Linked DNA regions of Caenorhabditis elegans. The protein of the gene in region 2 purifies or fractionates together with the protein of the main gene of each other region. This does not show direct contact. Each region holds a gene or a part of one and is shown on either strand. Other genes may lie near its edges.

Evidence for each region.
Region 1: the proteins of iscu-1 (region 2) and spig-20 fractionate together in Caenorhabditis elegans (co-fractionation; one large-scale study listed by BioGRID). This does not show direct contact.
Region 3: the proteins of iscu-1 (region 2) and nfu-1 fractionate together in Caenorhabditis elegans (co-fractionation; one large-scale study listed by BioGRID). This does not show direct contact.
Region 4: the proteins of iscu-1 (region 2) and F47B8.8 fractionate together in Caenorhabditis elegans (co-fractionation; one large-scale study listed by BioGRID). This does not show direct contact.

What each region holds. Positions count from the first base shown.
Region 1 is NC_003284.9:6,084,530-6,087,086, reverse strand, and holds spig-20 (Neuropeptide-Like Protein), read right to left. Parts: upstream 964-2,557; 5' UTR 947-963; coding exon 836-946; intron 783-835; coding exon 588-782; 3' UTR 520-587; downstream 1-519. Other genes in the region: C45B2.2 (Neuropeptide-Like Protein), read right to left, coding at 1,986-2,174, 2,224-2,334.
Region 2 is NC_003282.8:13,782,323-13,785,209, reverse strand, and holds iscu-1 (NIF system FeS cluster assembly NifU N-terminal domain-containing protein), read right to left. Parts: upstream 1,249-2,887; 5' UTR 1,236-1,248; coding exon 1,146-1,235; intron 1,088-1,145; coding exon 968-1,087; intron 905-967; coding exon 721-904; intron 667-720; coding exon 599-666; 3' UTR 530-598; downstream 1-529. Other genes in the region: lact-9 (Beta-lactamase-related domain-containing protein), read left to right, coding at 155-367, 415-525, 1,913-2,211, 2,268-2,549, 2,599-2,767.
Region 3 is NC_003282.8:10,385,566-10,388,884, reverse strand, and holds nfu-1 (NFU1 iron-sulfur cluster scaffold homolog, mitochondrial), read right to left. Parts: upstream 1,473-3,319; 5' UTR 1,469-1,472; coding exon 1,417-1,468; intron 1,374-1,416; coding exon 1,311-1,373; intron 1,265-1,310; coding exon 1,186-1,264; intron 1,122-1,185; coding exon 632-1,121; 3' UTR 534-631; downstream 1-533. Other genes in the region: R10H10.3 (CUB domain-containing protein), read right to left, coding at 288-365; Ankyrin repeat and KH domain-containing protein mask-1, read right to left, coding at 2,143-2,239, 2,285-2,613, 2,682-2,858, 2,910-3,319.
Region 4 is NC_003283.11:14,329,885-14,333,181, forward strand, and holds F47B8.8 (Aminopeptidase N-like N-terminal domain-containing protein), read left to right. Parts: upstream 1-1,789; 5' UTR 1,790-1,858; coding exon 1,859-2,069; intron 2,070-2,200; coding exon 2,201-2,502; intron 2,503-2,588; coding exon 2,589-2,696; 3' UTR 2,697-2,783; downstream 2,784-3,297. Other genes in the region: pepm-1 (Aminopeptidase N-like N-terminal domain-containing protein), read left to right, coding at 16-132.

The DNA.
Region 1 (2,557 bases), on a different chromosome or scaffold from region 2:
GTATTACCAGGCCGCTTCAAATTCGTTGAAGTAATTTGTTTTGGCTTCCATTTTAAACATTCCGTCGAGATCATGGAGAAACAATCTCCAAAAGCATGGCTTTCAATAAAAAATGCAAAAAAAATCAAGGATAGTGGCACTTTTGTGAAGCTTCCAAAAACATACAAGTTAAGTTTTTAGCTCAGTTCTGCAAAAATGAAGAACCATCCAATCAAAAATGCCAATTTTTGCTTTAGAGTACACAGAATCGGAGTCCAGTCAGCATTGAAATGTCTTCATTTACACCGTCAGGCTTCAAGTCTGTTCAACATCTAGGAAGTTTCCATATTTTTGAGAGAGTTCCATTTCTCGAAATTTACCGCAAATATTCATGATGTGCTCTTGTGGATCTAATAACAAAACTGATTTCCAGAATTTGACAAAAGTGACAAACTTTTTCTGTCATGATTATTTTTTCAGACCTTGTGAACTTGTGAAAACATGTATTGAAAAATTGAAAATTTCGATGTTTCTGGTAAAAATGCAATGTGACATTTATTGAAGGAAAAACAAACTAGTCAAATTATAAAAGAAATACTTTTTAACAATTACTTTCCTCCTGGGAATCCGTATCGTCCGTACCCTGCAGATGGTTGCTGGAATCGGTTTGATCTGTAGTCATTTTGTCCCCAACGAGTTTGTTTCTTCCAGTCATCGTACAAATCGTTGAGATTACGCTCGTAGTTTCCACGACGTCCATAATCAGAACGAACCTCGTGTCGGTTATAATCCCACACACCTTGCTGAAAATAATTTTGCTTTTAGAGATTTTTCAACAAAAATAAGTATGACAAACCTTTTCAAGGAATCTCTCATAAGAACTTGGCCATCCATAACGGTTTCCAGGTCCGGCAGTGACAGTTGCTAAAAGCATGGCAAACGCCAGGAAAACGGCAGTAAAGTTCATCTTGACTGATGATGTCCTGACCATTGATTCCTTCACTATTTATACTCCTTTTAAAGCTACGCCTCTTAAATTTAATGTCTAATTTTCACATTGTGTTTTTGAACTATCGGCCGCTTCGTTCATCTATTTTTTTCATCGAATTCTCGGTTACCCGGGAAACACAATCTCGATTGTAACAGTTTTCTGACAAATCAGAACGCCACCAAACAAAGATTGCGTTTCGGGAAGTGAACTGATAGCGAATAGATCAGGTTCAAATGAACAATTTAGTAATACTATTTCAAAATCCAAAATTTATATTTGTGATTGAATAATTTGTGCTCACCAACTAGATGATTTTTTGGAAGATTTTTTAAAAACGTTTTTGTGGTTGTATTTTGTGCCACTGCAAACGGTGATAAACTATAATATTCTATTATATTAACTACTTCATAATATTATTCCAAGGCAAAGGAAGTATGTTCCTCATTATTAAATTAAGAATAAAGTTCAACAATCAAACTCAGATAATAGCTGAACGTGAGAAAATTGTGTAGAAGCCTGGAAATAATTGTTTCAGGTTTTGATTATTGTCGCTTTGAATAGAAGTACTCGAAAAATGAAAACATGGTCTTTTTCGAAAATCGCCTCCCCAGAACGATCTCTCATAAGATTGTTTTCGGCAAGTTTTAGTAAAATCTGAGGTGAACAATTGAAGATAAATCGTGGCCGAGTTCTGGTTTTTTTAGGCCACGTAGTAAAAACCCTCTGTGAACCTTCTATCTTTTTGATAACATCTGTATTGATATATCTCGCATGAAAACAAAAGTTTTTTATCTGATCTTTACTTCAGTGAAAGACTGCTGTGAATTTACTCATTGTTTGAAACGTTAAGTTTTGTTAATAAGTCCATTTTTGAAATTCAAAAACATTTTGCAATCCTTATAAATGTTCACTTTGCAGTTACCATAATTACAAAAAATTACGAATTTTATTTGAGATTTTGTAAAACTAAGACAAAAACGATAGAATTATTAACAAAAAACGCCAAAATTTGTGTTTATCCCTTGAATCCGTAACGGCTATTTCCTCCAGTTGGTTGTTGGAATCTGTTGGATCTGTATCCCTTTCCTCCCCATTGGGTTTGTCTCTTCCAGTCGTCGAAAAGATCACGGAGGTCACGCTCGTAGTTCTTGCGTCCTCTGTAATCAGCACGGGCTTCGTGTCTGTTGAAGTCCCAAACTCCTTGCTGTAAATTACTTATTTAAAACTTTATTTTAAAACAATAATTTACTCACTCTCTCAAGGAATCTCTCGTAAGAGCTTGGCCATCCGTAACGGTTTCCTGGTCCAGCAGCGACGGTTGCCAAAAGCATGGCGAAAGCCAAAATAATTGCCAAAGAGTTCATTGTAGTCGAATGATGAATTTCTTGCCAAATTTTCTTTATTTATACTGTTTTTCTCAGGTACGCCTCTATATGTGCGGTCCAGTTTATACGTTGAATCACTGACCTCTGTTGTCTCCTACGTTGCATTTCGTCAATCTCTTTATCATCATTGCATCGGTTGCTAGATGTGGTGTTACGTTTTTACAAAGTATCACGATTGTGAGGTGTCAGGCTGATTAGATGA
Region 2 (2,887 bases):
ACAGAAATGAGAATTTGAAATTACAGTATTCTTTAAAGGCGCACACCTTCTCATATTTAACAAAAATTTGTCGTGTCGAGACCAGGTAATTGCGGAAAAATCTCTAAATTCCAAGTCTGTGTAATAACTTTCTCCAATTCGACATTATTTTCAGGCTATTCAAGGTATTCCAGGCCTTTCGATTGCAGTTTCGCTGGATGGAAAAATGGTTTGGAAAAGTGGATTTGGGTATGCAAATCTCGAAAGTTTTGCAAAATGTACAGGAGATTCTGTGATGCGAATTGCGAGCATCAGTAAGCCGATAACTGCCACGTTGGCAGCACAGTGCGTTGAAAATGGAACATTAGATCTTGATGAGGATATTCGGGTTTGCAACTTAAAACGGAAGGGAAAATCTGAAATTAATTTTTTCAGAAATATCTTCCTGAATTCCCGGCGAAAAAGTTCAAAAACGAAGACGTCAAAATCACAATGAGACAGCTTCTGTCGCATTCCGCTGGAATTCGTCATTATGCAACTGAAAAGGTGACAAAAAAGCTCTTTTATATATAGCGATTTCTATAACGAAAACAAATTGTCTATTACACATTCTTCAGGCTTAGGCCTTCTTAGTCTGCTTCTTCTGATAATCCTTCAAAGCGGCTTGAATGGCGTCTTGGGCGAGCACTGAAACATTTTTAGTTGCGAAAAAAATCGAGAAAAATAGGGAAAAAAGCTCACTTGAACAGTGAAGTTTGACTGGTGGAAGACACAATTCTTTGGCAATTTCGTCATTTTTAATTTTCGACGCGTAATCGATAGTTTTTCCGTTAATCCATTCGGTTGCCAGGGAAGATGAGGCAATTGCACTTCCACATCCGAATGTTTTGAATTTGGCTTCGATGATTTTTCCGTTATCGTCGACCTGGAAATGTTTTTAGCTTTAAAATATAATAATTTTTTCCCCGGAAAATGTGAAAAAACTCACTCGAATCTGCAATTTCATGACATCTCCACAAGCTGGAGCGCCGACGATTCCTGTTCCGACGCTTGGATCGTTCTTGTCAAGTGATCCGACATTTCGCGGGTTCTCGTAGTGATCGATAACCTGAAAATAATGTGTAATTTATTGATTTTTTAACGCCTGAAAATGATTTAAAACCTACCTTCTCGTGATACTGAGCAACTGAAGTTGCCGCTGGCAACGCAAACTTGTGCAGGAGTGTTTTCGCGGCTGAACTGATTTGAAGCGACATTTCTGTGATTTGTCTGGAATTAATTTATTATATTTAAAAAATAAAATTAATATAAAAGTAGAAATACGTTAAATCATGGATTTTTAGCAACGAAAGGCAATATTTTTGTGCATAAAAATAGGGAATTCCAGAAAAAAACATTTAGAATTAAAGCAGAGATCACTTTTCTCGGCGATAACAAAAAGAAGAATGGAGAAGTAGTGGGCGCACACAAGACACCATCACATGTTCATGGCCGAGAAGTTTTTCGGCCAAGGCCAAGGTTTTTGATGCTTTAGCTGGCGAGTTTAGCAGAGAACACTGATAAATAAATAAAAATCGATGGAAAACTTAGAAAAAATCAATAGAAACAGTTGTTTGATGAGAAAATTATATTAATTACTAGTTTTTAGATTATTTTCTATACAAAACCCAATAAAAAAATCCTTGAATTCGCGCAAAACATTAAAAATTCATAAAAATAATAATAAAAATTAGAAAAAAAAAACAAAAAACATACTGTAGTAAAGGCGCACAGTATTTTGAACCCTAGCGGGTCTCGAAGCGAATTTGAGCATTTGTGCTTTTTCACCAATGTGCCTTTAGAAAGTACGGTAACTTTCATTGAATTTTAATATTTTGGAATTCATTTCAAATTCCTTAACCACATACTATTAAAAAATAAGTATTTTTTTCAGAAAAAATCCGAAACACACGAAGATCCATCCAACAACAACACAGAAACCCCCGAATTTCTCTCGAACAAGCCATACAATTCCTCGCTCGACGCCCTTGCCATTTTCAAAAATGACGACCTTGTGGAAAAACCTGGCTCCAAATTCTCCTACACCACATACGGATTGACACTTGCCGGTGCTGTTCTTGAAAAATGTTCAGGAAAAACATATAGACAGCTTGCAAATCAATTATTTTCGGATCTAGGAATGAGAAATACACAACTGGATACAAAAGAGAAAATTGTTCCGGGAAGGGCTAGGTAAGGTTTTTAAAATTTTAAATGATTCTTTAAACCAAAATTATTTAAAACTTCAGCTACTACCAGCGAAATTCGAAAAACATTCTGGAAAACTGTCCGGAAGTTGACTGCTCCAACAAATTCGCCGGCGGTGGAATCATCTCCAACACCACCGATCTTCTGATCATCGCCAACGCCATCCTTCACAGTATTCTGTCGGATTCCAAGAATTGTCTGCTACAACGAGAAACTATTCGAAAATTCCTGGAAAAGCAAGTCCCAGTTGACTCGAAAACTTCGACAGGCCTCGGATGGTTTCTAGTGGACGGAAAAGATCTGAAATCAATTGATGGAAATATGTAAGCACTTCCGAAATTGCATTTCTATATTAATTCGTAATAATTTCAGCTCCAACTCTTCATTCTTCTACCACACCGGAGCAGCTGTCGGAGCTTCTTCAGTGCTTCTTGTAAATACATCTTCCGGTGTTTGTGTGGCCATCCTGTGTAACCTTCAAAATACAACAGTTCTGAAGCTGGGACGAGACATTGGAGATCTGTTTCATGGCGAAATTTGAATATTTGATATTTACACATTCCTTATATTTTGAGTACATAAATATTATTTTTTTTTAAAATTTTCATCGGAAAAATGCAAGAAAAAAACAACCAAATGTAATACTTCGACTCTTTGGAAA
Region 3 (3,319 bases), 3.4 Mb from region 2:
TAAAATTTTGATAAATGCAAAAGTTGTTGTCTCATGTTTTTCTGAAGATTTTTGTATTTTGATTTCAAAATGTAGTTTGTTTAATAAATAAAAAAACATATTTTTCTCGAAAAACTATGAAGAATTGACCGCAGCAAATAAAGTTTGGATATACAGTTCACTTTAAAGGCGCGTACCTTCCGCATTTATTAAAATGATGTCGTTCAGAAACCGAACCAGCCGCAAAAATAGCAAAATTCCGCGTCTGGATAACATTGAAAATTCAAAAACTTGAAAAAAAAACTAACATGAATCAAGCTTTTCTTCTTATACGCAGATACTCCTAAATTTAAAATAATAGCGACGAGAAGAATTTGTTTCAACATTTTGAGCAGCACTCTGACTGATTTCTTATCAATTTACGAAGCACAATTTTCCACTTTTCCGGGTGATAAGTCTTTTAACTGATATCACTGATTTGGACTGGGCCGTTGAACTTTGACGTGATTCGATGATTTCAGAGTCATAAACCAATTCTACTAATACGACTTTCAAAGTAATAAAAAAGTTTTTATAAATATTCATTGAACATTTATCTCTAGCAGCAAACACTAATAAAAACAAATCTAGTTATACACGAATCAATTATCAATTAGTCTTTGATTCCTTTTGATTGCTCAAATTTCTTCAACTCTTGTTCCACAAGATCATCGGATTCATCCTTAACTTCGATAACTTCCTTCACTTCAGGCACGTAGAATGTGAGCATATTCTCAATTCCATTTTTTAAAGTGACTCCAGAGCTTGGACATCCTGTGCATGAACCTTGCATCTTCAATTTGACAACACCATCGTCAAAACCAACATAAGTGATATCTCCACCATCTTCTTGTACCATTGGTCTGATACGTGTCTCTAGAATTTCTTTGATCATCATTACAACTTCATCATCTTCTTCCACTTGGTCGGAAACAGTTGCAGCTTCATTTATGACAGGTTTTCCGGTTTGAATGTGATCAGCAATTGTTGAGAAGATTTCCGGACGGAGGAGAGCCCAGTCAACAGTCTCATCTGATTTCGTGACAGTTACAAAATCTTCTCCGAAGAACACACGCTTCACTCCGTCGACTCGAAGAAGTTTTCTGAAAATTTACAAATAAATACTATTTTATCTGAATGGTAGTTAAAATTTGGAATATTCCTTACATAGCAAGTGGACTTTGTTTTGCTGTAGCCGCTGAGCTGAAATCGTATGTTTTCGAGGCGTCTGGGAGAAGCTGTTGACCTGAAATACTACATTTCAGATTTTAAACAGTGAAGTTTCCACTAACCAGGTAAAAATTTTAAAGAAAGTGGATTAGGTGTCTCCTGAACTTGAATATACATTGATCGAGCTGAAATTTTAAAAAATGAAAGAATTTCTGGAACCAGTATCACCTGCTTGTACAAAGCTCCGGTTCAGTCTTGTGAGCATTTTTGATGAAATCATTTTTCTGAAAATTTTTGTTCTTTCAACATCTACCGACTTAATTCTCAAGATATAGGAATCAAAACCTCGAGTTGTACATTTCAATAGCCTAACCTGTATACTTTCAAGAATCACGATTCATGGATCAACATAAAGCGAAGAAAGTCATAATTAATTAGCAATGAAATAAATGCCCAGGTTTCATATGAAACAACGAGTAAAACATCAAAAGTGAAAAATAAGACACACTTTTCAATAAAGGGAAGAAAAAGTTGGGACCATTTGACATCCGTCTCAAATACATATGTGTTGTGTTGGAAGACTTGAAAAATAACCGAAAAAAAAGAAGTAGTATGTCGGGGGAGATATAAAAAGAACAAAAAATGGGTAAACGGGAATAATTTGGACAGAAGAGTACAATTTCCACAAGGCTGAGCTCGCAAGAAAACACTTGCTAGGGATGGGAAAGATCGAACATTTGAGAGTTGAAAGAAAAAATGGACCAAAAAAGGCTAGATTTAAAATGAAGAAAAAGTGTTACAAAACCCGGAACGAGGAGACGAAATAAAGAAAAATGGATGCAATTCAACCGGGAAGACATATTGTTTCACGGTTGAATAAAAAACAAGTAAACACCGAATTATTATGAGGGGAGGGGGGACTAATTGACAAGAAGACGATTTTGTGAGCGATATCTACCAGTTGGAAGACCATTTATTTGACGAGGATGACTGATGATTTTGTTGGCCAGATGCAGACTGCTGTTGCTGTCCAAGTCGGTTCCAATCCATTCTGTAATAAATAAACAAATATTTAATTAGAAATCGTAGAACTTACGCTTGAGGCATCTGACCGTAAGGCTGTTGCTGTGAACTCTGTCCGTATTGCTGATACATTTGCTGCATAGAAGTTCGAGATGGGTTCGTCGTGGAAGATGCATTTCCAAGAGAAGAGAATCCAGGTGGAGCTTGTGGAGCAACAAATGGTGGCGGTTGGGGCCGAGGTTGGATCATTCCGAGTCGCGATTGATTTGCAGAAGCGTTGCTGGGAGCTCCGAACGGCTGTGGCTGTTGAGAGTTATGCATGAACGATTGTTGTGCGAGTCCTTGTTTCTTCTGTTGTTGTTGTTGCTCGAGAATAGCAGCAATAACGCCATCAGAGTCATTCTAAATTTCCATTCATTAATTTTTAAACTGATCCTGCTATCTTAACATCAAATTTGTCCTAAACTTACATTAAATCCATCAAATTGCTTTATTCCTCTCTGTGACAATGACGGCATGCTAATTTGCCCTAAAACACTGGCATCCGTATACGAAGGTGATGGATAGTAGCTATTTGCAAGTTGACTACTTGTTGGACCAGGTGCTCCTGTAGAACTCTCTTGATGAGTCAATAATTGGGCGGCAAGCTGCAAATAAATCAAATAACGTATTTTCAGACATAAATCACGGATCCCTACATGGTTATACAGATTGGATCCCTGTCCATCTTGACCTAGCGACTGCATCTGATTGTAAAGTTGCTGCTGCTGTTGTTGTGATTGTAGCATTGAAAACTTTGAAGACATCAAGTCACTTGGTTGCTGAGAACTTTGAGACTGATGCTGTTGGTATTGTTGCTGGAATTGCTGAATCCTTTGCTGTTGTTGTTGTAGTGCTTGCTGCTGTTGAAGGTGTTGAATTTGCTGTTGTTGTTGCTGTTGAATATTCGTGGAAGTGCTATTAGCAACAGAATTCGATTGAGATCTTGCAAACAGGGGTGGTTGAGATCTATTCGGATCACGAGCAGACGGTGCAAATGAGGCTGGCATCCAACCTTTCAGTTCCAAAGAAGATAATCCAGTAGTAACAGAAGACGTAGATGGCTGCT
Region 4 (3,297 bases), on a different chromosome or scaffold from region 2:
TGATAAATGTTTCAGGATGACGCTGGGCACGAAGAATTCGAAGGAAGAGTGAAGAATAACTTTTTAAAAGAAGAAGAACTTACTATTGAAGATGTTTACATTTATGTCACACCAATTATCGATATGGAATAGTGTTTCCAATTTTTTTTGAACAATTAATTTACCGAATCAATGAATAAGTTTTTTTATTCATATATGTATGTGTTCCCTGGATGTTTCATAAGTATGACAAATTTACTAAATGTTCACGTGTGCTTGGGGGGTACGTATCAAGAAGTTGCTAGTTTCCGAAAATTTTTGGACTTGGCGTTTTTTTCTGATTTGTTAGGGGTCTCGAGTTAATCGTCCTATGTGGGTGAACTTCATAAAAATATTTTTTCTGCCTCTTCCTATATTAAATCCTGAAATTGCATTCTTGACAGAAATAAAAAATAAGGGCACGTTGTCGTAATGGGGTGTCCCGAGAAATGTGACTGCACTTTGAGAGCTTATATCTTGGCTTAGGGTTGGCGGTTTCTTGAGCAATTTGTTTCAATAGCTTATAAAAATAGCGCCTTCCATCGTCATCATTGTGGGGGAGCTTTTGGGAAGGCTAAAACACTGATTTGAGCGGAATTCTGGAGTATGGTCGAAATGGATGTATTCTTTGTACTGACGAATTTCATGTTTTTTCAGCCCCAAATCTTCAGTTTTTCTGACATTTGGTTCCAATTTGTGCGCAAGAGAGAACTTCGTATTTCCAATTTTTTGAAACTATTTTGAAAAAAATTGGCGCACTTTCCAAAATGTAGGCCATCATTCAATTTTTGCAAAATCAAAAAGATTGATTAAACGTGAAAAACTTTTCTACCACTCTCTCTCTTTCTCTATTTTTGGTGATGAATTCGATAATTTTCATTTCTTATTTTTAATAACGTGAGGAAAACTCAATTTTGAAGACTTTTCGAGATTTTTACTTTTTCCCTAATCTAATTGAGGGCCGCACTTTTTGAACATGTTGGCTACTTTTAACCTGACTTCCAGCAGGACAGGCTGGAGGCCTGCAATGCTATTGTATTTCACTCAAACCCAAAAATCAGGGATTAGGGCCACCTTCTTACTCTTTGAAACTTTAGGCCTTTTCTATCCCTACACCCAGCAGAGCAGGCTGGAGGCCTTCTCTGAGAGGTATGTTTCTATAACTACGTATGTTTTTGGAAAAGTAATGAAAAAGGTCACCTAGGTCAGTTAACCGGATTGAGGGCCAGAGGCCCGAATACACAAAACGTATTGGACAGCCGTTAAGCCTATACTGAGCCCAAAAACTCGAGTTGAGAGCCACAGGCCCGAATACACGAAGAAGTGTTGGAGATCCGTCAAGCCTATTCTTAGCATAATAATTCAGTTCGAGTGTCGCAAGCCCAAATAGACGCAGATGCGTTGGACAACTGTTAAGCCTATTTTAAGCAAAAAAATTTGAAAAAATTTTTATTTCTAAAATTAATATTAAACTAAATTTGGCCGGTCTTGACAAACTTCAGCACATTTACTTGGCATTTACTCAACACTTGACTAAACTTTAGCGAATAAAGCGAATTATTCTTGAGTTACTCTACGCCGAACTAAACTGCGAAGCCTAGCAACTCTCCGATTTGCTAGTCAAGATAAGTTTATAAATTCAAAACAATGGCATTGAAATGTTTTGTTTATTTTTTTTCTGATTTTCCGAGGAGAAAATATTTACAAATTCAATCGATGTTTTTTCATTTTTCTCTATCTCTTACGGGTGCACGTGTTCCTCCTACAAACCAGTTTTCACTCGTATCAAACTGTCGAGGCCGTCTCATTTCTGTCATTTATTCTCTGATTCTATTGAAATATGTCGGAACTTCTCACCACATATCGGCCGACTAGATACATGCTCCAACTCGATCCAAATATGGCAAACAAGACTTACTGCGGAAAAGTGAGAGTCGACTATGAATTCACTGCAGAAACTTCGGAAATCAAAATTCAAGCATCAAGGGATTTTCAATGGACTTCTATTAGGCTGATCAATTTTTACGCTGTATACCTGGAATGTCCCATTTGTAAGTTAATTTAAATTTTGAAACGGTTTTTTTTTTGGTTTTTTTCTCAATAGTAATTGTGCTGAAAAAATTATGGACTCAAATTTTGAATTTCAAGACATTACAAAACAATACAACTTCCCAAGTTTCAGATGCAAGTGTGTTATGTGACGACTATAACCATGATCTGGAATCTGAGATTCTTACACTTTCACTGGACACACCGCTAACCCCAGACAATACACAAAATGGATTCTACATTGAATTAGAATTTACTGGACCCATAATTATTGCAGGGCAAACTACTGGCCTCTTTGCGGTTGATGAGAACTCAATTACGGCAAATATGAAAGATGGAAATGCACATAAAGTTGCACCATGTTATGAAGGTGTTGCTATCAAGACCTGGCTGACTGTGATAGGTGGTGAAGGATCACAGGTAGAAACTAACTTGGTAAGGATTTCGATATCTTCAGCACATTAAAAAAAAATCAATTTCCGCATCAAACAAACATAATCCTATTTTTGTATATTTTTCAGAATAGCGATGGACAGGAAGACTTTGAAGGTCGCGTCAAGAAGAACTTCATAACGGATGAGGAAATTACTATTGAAAATCTATGCATTAATGTTTCTAATTTTTCTTGAAACATCTTTTTTTATGTGAATAGATTAATATTTCTAATTTTTTCTACCCCAATTTCTATTTTGCCATAAAGATTTTCCAAGTATTGGAATTCCGATTTTATTTCAGTTATATCACAAGAAAAATAGGAAAAACAATTATAGCACCAAACAAAGCAAACACCAGATTATTCGATATCTGCAAAATCCGGAAGTCTATTCAAGGTGGGCCATAGTTATACGGACTACTTCTCTTTTCATAGAGGTGAATAATCTAGGTTAGAATATACTATAAATCATCAAATAATTTGCAGGCATAATTTAATAAGATTGAGAAAAATGAAACCAAATTTGCGTGGTTCATTTTGATCAGCATGTGACTTATTTTGTTTCTTTTTCCATTTTAATAGCACACATTTTTGAGAATCTATTTAACTTGTTCCACCACGCAGTGTAGGCGTAACAATTTCAAAGACAGCCAACCTCGTGTGATTCAGATCTAATTGAGTCAAAGCTCGAGGTAACTGAATTTTCAGACCTCCGATTTTCCATGTTCCGAATAATATTTTCAAATGCGTAATAACATCTGATTATTATTATTATTTGTTTTCGAGCCATTTTTCAG